Linked DNA regions of Oryzias latipes. The protein of the gene in region 2 purifies or fractionates together with the protein of the main gene of each other region. This does not show direct contact. Links are inferred from orthologs where the notes say so. Each region holds a gene or a part of one and is shown on either strand. Other genes may lie near its edges.

Evidence for each region.
Region 1: the proteins of zc3h18 (region 2) and fnbp4 purify together in Homo sapiens (affinity purification with mass spectrometry; 3 studies listed by BioGRID and IntAct, counting the BioPlex papers as one, with this or other methods). This does not show direct contact. The link is inferred for Oryzias latipes from reciprocal best matches to the Homo sapiens genes ZC3H18 and FNBP4.

The regions. Positions count from the first base shown.
Region 1 is NC_019864.2:31,062,160-31,065,817, forward strand, and holds part of fnbp4 (formin-binding protein 4), read left to right. Parts: intron 1-12; coding exon 13-160; intron 161-242; coding exon 243-324; intron 325-410; coding exon 411-752; intron 753-2,290; coding exon 2,291-2,483; intron 2,484-2,576; coding exon 2,577-2,695; intron 2,696-3,658.
Region 2 is NC_019864.2:26,610,761-26,614,418, forward strand, and holds part of zc3h18 (zinc finger CCCH domain-containing protein 18), read left to right. Parts: intron 1-1,008; coding exon 1,009-1,123; intron 1,124-2,781; coding exon 2,782-3,047; intron 3,048-3,658.

The sequences.
Region 1 (3,658 bases), about 4.5 Mb from region 2:
TGTTTGTCTCAGTGGGAGTTGAGATGGGAGACTGGCAGGAGGTTTGGGACGAGAACTCTGGCTGCTATTATTACTGGAACACTCTGACCAACGAGGTTTCCTGGGAGCTGCCGCATTATCTGGCTGACCAGGTGCAGAGCCTGGGTCAATATTCCAACAGGTGAGAAGATCTCAGCTCTTTGGACCAACATTAGGAAATGACGCTGTTCTGAAACATCGTTCTGAAATCTTTGTTTTTCTAGTGTCAACGGCAAAGACACAGCGCATGCTGCGTACGTGGCTCCAACAGCCGCCCCCCCAGCTGTGAAAGAGACCAAATCAAAGGCCAGTTTGGTTGAAGTTCACTCAAACTTGAATCTGCTGGTCTGTTCCTGGAGAGCTGCTCCTCTGAGGTGTTTTCTGTCCAACAGGAGGTCATGGAGAGCGTCGTGGCCCTCACAAACGAAGAGGAGGAGCACAAAGGAGTGGCTGCCTCTCTCCTCGCTCCTCTAATCCCGTCGGAAGTGAAAGAAGCTGAAGAGAAGTGGAGGAAAAAACTGCTCAAAGGTTTGGACGAACCAGAAAACAGTTTGGATCCAGACGAAGCTCAGAAGCCGGTAGGATCTCCCTCCACACCCCTCCGGGAGTCAGACTCCACCCCCGCCGCCCAGAAAGATCTCGCCATAAAGAAAACATTGGGAGAAAACGCAGAAGCTGACGATGCGGCTGAGGAGGACACGATGGAGCTGGAACTCGCTCTAGAGAGGAAGAAGGTGGGTCGTAGACGGGTCCGGGTCACAGTAGAACCAGGACTCTCATTTGAGTTTTATTTCTGTTAAACGCACATCAACGCTGACAGCTTAATGAAAAGAGTCAAAGGGAAAATGGAAAAGTTTAAAATTAGTTGAAGAATTTAGAAGAAAATCCAATCAAAGCTGCAATTAGCTGAGTTAAAGTAAATAATACTAAACAATACTAGTTTTTATTCTACAGCAATACACATTAATAAAATGGCTGAAAGACATAAAGGCCTGTTCACACCGGGACGAATTTCGCCGGCGATTTTCGCCGATGTTTAACGCCTCGTGACTAAACAAAGGGCCCCAATGAGAGTGTGCACACCGACGCGAAAAAACGCCAGGCGTTAAAGCGTCAAAAAAAAAAACCGCCTCGGGTTCGTTTTTTTTTTCTCGTCGCGTCGAAATCTACTCGACCAATGAGAACGGCGCTTTTGCTCACGTGTCTGGAGCTTCTGAAGTTACAGTAAAACACAACTTGGGGGCGCTCAAACAAAACTGCCTTGCTGAGCACACATACCAGCGAAGAAGTTAGACGCCAAGTAGCGTCTACACAGCAGCGAAGAAATAATGACGGACATTCTAAAATATCCCCGAACCAAGCACCAGTTGGAGCTACTGATGCTTGAAATATTCATGTTTTCTTTGTTTGATTCTGACAAGCGCGTAAATACTTGCTCTCTTCTTCTGAGTGAAAAGCGACTTTAAGAAGCGTAAAGTTGCGCAGCGCCACCTTGTGTACAGGAGTATTTCGGTTTTACATTAAGCGCCATCTAATGTCAGGGAATGAAATTGCATGTTCACTCGGCTCATCGTCAGCGAAAATCGCCTGGGTGTGAACACAAAAAACGTGGCGAAAAACGCTGGCGAATAACGGCTGGCGAATATTCGTCCCGGTGTGTACGGGCCTTAACAAATGTAATTCTGTGTCACCGTGGATGTTTTTATAACTTGCTGGTCTGTGGTCATGTGATGTTTTTTTAAGGTATATTTCTTCTTTTTTCTGATCTTATCAGGTAAATAATTGTTTTAAAGTTTGAATGTTTTACTGATCAAAGAATACTTTTTAAAGTTAAGCTTCAGACAAAAAAATCTCTGGAAAACAGATTTACTGAACTTAAAGAACAATTACAATTGTTTTCTTAACATGAAAAAAAAAATAGAAAATAATGCATGTAAGAGTTTTTTTTTAATGAAATTTTCTTTTATTGTTGTTATATTTAAAATTAATTCACAAACTGAAAGTTATCTGCTGACATTCTTATCCCATGGACCTTTAAGGATCTGAAGGTTTTCTGTTCATTTTTAAAATAGTTGTCATTTGAAAATCCAACCGTCTAAGCAGGAACCTGAGGGTAAACTATTGAAAATGAATCTAAAGAGGATCTGGATGTGAGCCGTGGATGTTGGTACATTCATACAGCGTGACGAGCATCCCATAATTTCCCCACCTTCTGAGTGAAAACGACTGTTTTTACGGCTCAACCTGAACGGGTTTCTCACCTGCCCCTCAGGCGGAACTGCGGGCGCTGGAGGAGGGCGACGTGAGCGCCGGAGGCTCCAGCCCGTGTTCAGAGGCCAGCCAGGAAGCCGCTGGGTCCCGAGGCGTCCTGCTGAAGAAGAGCCGCTGGAAAAGCGTCTTCCCCGCCGCTGACAGCCCAGACTCCAACAGCAGGAGCTCGGACCTGCCGGACAGCGCCGACACGGGTGAGGATCTGTGCGGGAAAACCTGCTGACACTTCGAAAGCAACTGCTTTCATATTTAGGCCTGTAATAAATGTCAACATCGTGCTTTTTTAGCTCCGCCTACAGTTCTGGAAAGTCTCGTGGAAGAAGAGAAGAAGGAAGCCGACAGCTCCGAGGACAAAACCGCCTCCAAACCTTTAATAAAAGACGAGGTTGAAACGCCTGAGCTGAAGGTGAGCGGTCGCCTGTCGGCTTGACCTGGGGGGGTTTCCAGAAAGCAGGTTATGCTAGCTCCCACGGTAAGTTTGAAGCTAAGGAAGTTGATAACCTCAGCTTTCAGTTCCAAAAAACAGAGGTATGTTTCAGGGTTTGTCAAGTTGCCATAGCAACTGATGCTCTGAACATAACCTGGTCTGGAGCAGGTTTAGTTGAAGGTTAGTTTGTTTTCAGAGAGGTGAAGCAGCATGGCGTGTCCATTTGAAGATGATTTAGTGGATGAAGAAGCTCAGATAATACTTTTTCCACCATGAGAGGATGATAAGACCACATATGGATGTTGGAAAGAGAAACTTTTTACCTTGATCTAACTTAATTATTTGGCTCAGTTAAGAAATCTTTTTTTAGTTAAGTCAGCTTAAAAATAACACGTAGTTTTCAGACAGTTATTTTACTTTCATTCAAAATAATTCAATTAAGTAGTTGTAACTTTGGTGCTGCTGTTAGATCGGCACTGCAAAGGATTGTGGGATACCTTTCCCTTTCGGGACAGATTTAGGTTTTTTAACCAATTGTGTTTAGTTGTTTAGCGGTTTTACTGTGTTTTGTCTAGTTATTTGGCCTGTTATGTTTAATTCTGTCTGCACCATGAGTGAGAGGGAGGGAGAGGATGGTGAGTTTCTATAGCATCACTAGTGTATCAGTATGGAATAAGAACTAAGTTACTGTAAAAGTCATTGTAATGAAGCTATGCTTCATGTTGTAAATCCACACTGTATCATTTATTTTAATTTGATGAAAATGAGAAAATCTGCTGCCTCAAACTTAGACATATGAGAGTTCAAGAAGTACAATAAATTAAGATGAAAAACATTTAATTGAATTGGAGTAAAATGACATTTAGTTGGATAAATATGTAAATTTGAGTTGGATAGATATAAGAAACTAGGTTGAATGAATTTAATTCAATCACTTGTTAC
Region 2 (3,658 bases):
ACAACACAATAACAAAAAAAAAACCAACAAGTTCACATATTTTATCAAAAAAAAAAAAAAGAAAAACTTTTGCACAGAGCTACTGAGCTTTAAAAAATTAAAATCTTTCAAATTTGTGTCAATTCAGGACTTGGTTGCATTGAAACCATTAGATGAACTTATTGGTTGTTTTTGTTTTTTCCTCTGATCTTTTGAAGAAAACTGTTTGATTGCATCCATTATTTTCAACTTCATCTCATCTCTATTTAAATAGAACTTTCAATCAACAGCAGCCGACACAAAGTGCTGAACACGAGAAATGAAGAAAACTAACACTAAAACATCTTAAAACACAGAATTAAATATAGAGAGATAAAAACAATAAAACCAGTACGACAACACAGCAACTTATCAGTTGCAAAAGAATTGGCAGCCTGATGATGGAAATGGAGCGAGGAGATCTGAGGGAATCTTCGTGTTGGAAAAAAATACAGGAAAAAATGGGAATATCCTAATTTCAGCATGTAGCTGGAAGGAAGGAAGGAATGACGGGATTGACTGGAATTCATTCATATACAAGTTAGAATGCGTTCTGTCTAAACAAAATAGAAGTTTAGTTCTGCTTGTCTGACAATTGGCTGTGAGCAAAATAGATTCGTTAGTGAAATTAAAAAAAAAAATGTCTGCATAAATTCTATTTATCCATCCATTCACTCCATTTTGGTATTGGCTTTTAAAACAATATTGAAAAGCTTTCAGGTAAATAAGTAGATTTCCGCAGGATCCAAATCTTTAGCTGTTTTAAGTGGAAGTTTTCTGAAAATAAGCAGAAGCCATAAATATTTGGTAAGATGTTCTCATTTTTGTTTTGTAGAACGATTGAATAGAAATGAACAAAATACATTTTTTTGCTCTTTTGACAATAATGAACAGGCTGCTTTTAAAAATGTCCTGGAGTTTTAGTCTTGAAGATTTGTAGGAATCAGTTTGCAGTTGGCAGCAGTTTCTCATTGATGTTTTTCTCTGCAGCGACCCCTACGCTGACCCCTACTATGACTATGAAATGGAAGCTTTGTGGCGCGGGGGCCATTATGAAAACTTCAGAGTGCAGTACACTGAAGCCCCCATTCCTTACCACTTCACTGTGAGTATCCACCTCTGACTTCTAAAAAGCTGGAATTTGATCAGATCAAGAAAATAATTGTTTGGTTTTCTGTTCTCATAACACATTTGGGTTTGATGCTGCTATCGCTTTTAGTCTTTACTTGATTTTACATGTTAAACCAAGCACTTCAACACAAATGTCATTATGTGTGCGCGTAATGACAATAAACTCCGATGTTGTTCATTCTTGTCGGTTTATATCCAGTGTTTAGCCGCTGAAATTTGCCTTTTTGTTATTTTCAGTGCAGACTTATACCATGCAAAATCAACTTTTTTAGCTTTTAAGTGTATTATAAGGTTAATTCATCACAAAAAACAACCCCAAAGCGGTACTTTTGATCCATTCACGCATCTTTGAGTATTCCTCTAAAAGCGGAAGTGTGTTGGGTGCACGCATTCGTGTTGTGTGTTACGAAGAAAGGATAACGGTAAAAAAAGAAGTCCCAAATATTAATCCAATCGGTGACCTAGTCCGGTCTAGTAATTGATATTTATTACTGAAATTTGAATTGTAATTCATCAAATTATTCTGTTAATTTTTCAAATGCTAGGTCTTAAAAAGTCATAAATATAACTTGAAGAAGCCTGTAGGAACCCTGAATAATGAATACTTCTGAAAGTAACTATTTGTTTAGCGGAGTGACTTTAACCCATAAAAACCCAGACCAATTTTTCCTAAAAATAAACTTGTGTAAAACCTAGTGGACCGCTGAATCCATTTCTGATATTTTTCTTTTACACTGTCACCATGGGTTCCTATTAGAGGTAAGATCTTCGGGTCAGGCACTAAATGACAATCATTACGTTCGGGTCGGTTCGGGCCTGGCTTCTCTCTCGCTGACTTTTAAAAAAAAAATATTGTAATGGCTGCAAAGAAGCTCCTTAAGCAGGCGGTTGTCAAACAGCTCTTTATTAATCCTGTACCACAGAACGGTTACCGCACGAACCGAAAGGCACAGCCAGCTTCTTCTTACTCAGAGGGAGAACGTTCACGGAACACACACACACACACACACACAGGTAGACCCCGCCCCCCAGTCACCACCCCACCGTTGATTGACATACACTGTAACTAGCAGAAAGAGGGGGGCGCCGGCCACCCGCAGCTCTGCACACGTGAATGAACGTGTCGTGAATGTAATTTTCCCTCCGCAAGTCCGCATCTATTTTGTTTAAGTATCCCCGATATGGAGCAGCATGAAGTCAAGGATACACTTAAGACAGGAGAGCTGAAAAGACAAACACTCACCGCCGCGGCTGCAGTATTTCTCCGCATTAAGCGAGTGCGCGTCAAGATCTCTCTTTCACTCTCTTTGTCTGGCCTCTTATTCTGTGTTCAAGCGTTATTTCATTGTGCAAATGCATTTATCATGATCATAAAAATATGTAGATTATTTTAACCTTAAATCTTGCGTTTTTTTTCTGCCAAAAAACTATGGGATGAATTGAAATTTCGGGTTTACTTCAGGCTCGGACCTGCAAATCAAGTTAATTGGTCGGGTTCTGGCCGGGTTCGGCTTTAATGCCCGCGGGCCTGTGTCGGGTCGGGCTGGATTTTTCAGGCCCGATCTTACCTCTAGTTCCTATTGGTGAAAGGATTATCAGTTGACATTTTCCTCTTTTCTTTCTTTTTTCCAGGAGCGCGAACGCGAGCGGGAACTTCGGGAGCGTCACAGAGAGCGGGAGAGAGACCACCGTGAGCGGGAACGCCGACAGCGGGAAAGGGAGCGGGAACGAGAGCGGGAGCGTGAGAAGGAGAGGATGAAGCGGAAAGAAGAGTGGGAGAGGGACCGGATCAAACGCGACGACAAGGAGCGGCCGAGGATGCGTCCTCCTCGAGACCCCAGAGACAAGAAAGAAGAGGAAAAGATGAAGCCGCGCTCCCCCCCCAACCTGCCCGTCAAGTAAGTGACCTTCAGTGACCTGGGAGAATCACAGAATCGACCCTTTCCTTCCTCATGTCAGGTCTTTAGTGAAACTTAAAGGAGGAAAAAACACAATGAATGAGGAAAAAGTGTCATATGTCTAGTCGCGTATGGCTCATTTTCTTATAATACACGCATCTGTTTAAATGACAGAAGCTTATTGTTACAAGGTTTTAGTATTGCACTTTTATAAAACATACTTTTTTATACATCTATAAAAGGACGATCTATTGAGACCTCTTTGGCCTCTTCTGGAGTTTGCAAAATTCAGTTTTTCAAGACCATCCTGTTCATGATCTCATTGTTACCTCAGGTGGCTTTTGGGTCAAGTGCCTTGCTCAAGGGTACCACAATGAGTTGACTCAAAATGTGCTTGTCTAAGTTCAAACTAGTGACTAAATGACTTGCCAGGTGTCCCACTCTAACTACTGGGCCTCTTTTTTTACTTTGATCCAATTAAGAACAGGGACACCCGGTGGCCACGTTGAGCTATAGCAACCTCACAGATATAGCAGAGCTAACGCAGTTTAAAACTGAGTGGCCACAGTCCTGCTTGTTATCCAAAAATGTCTGCTGCTGCAACTTCTGGT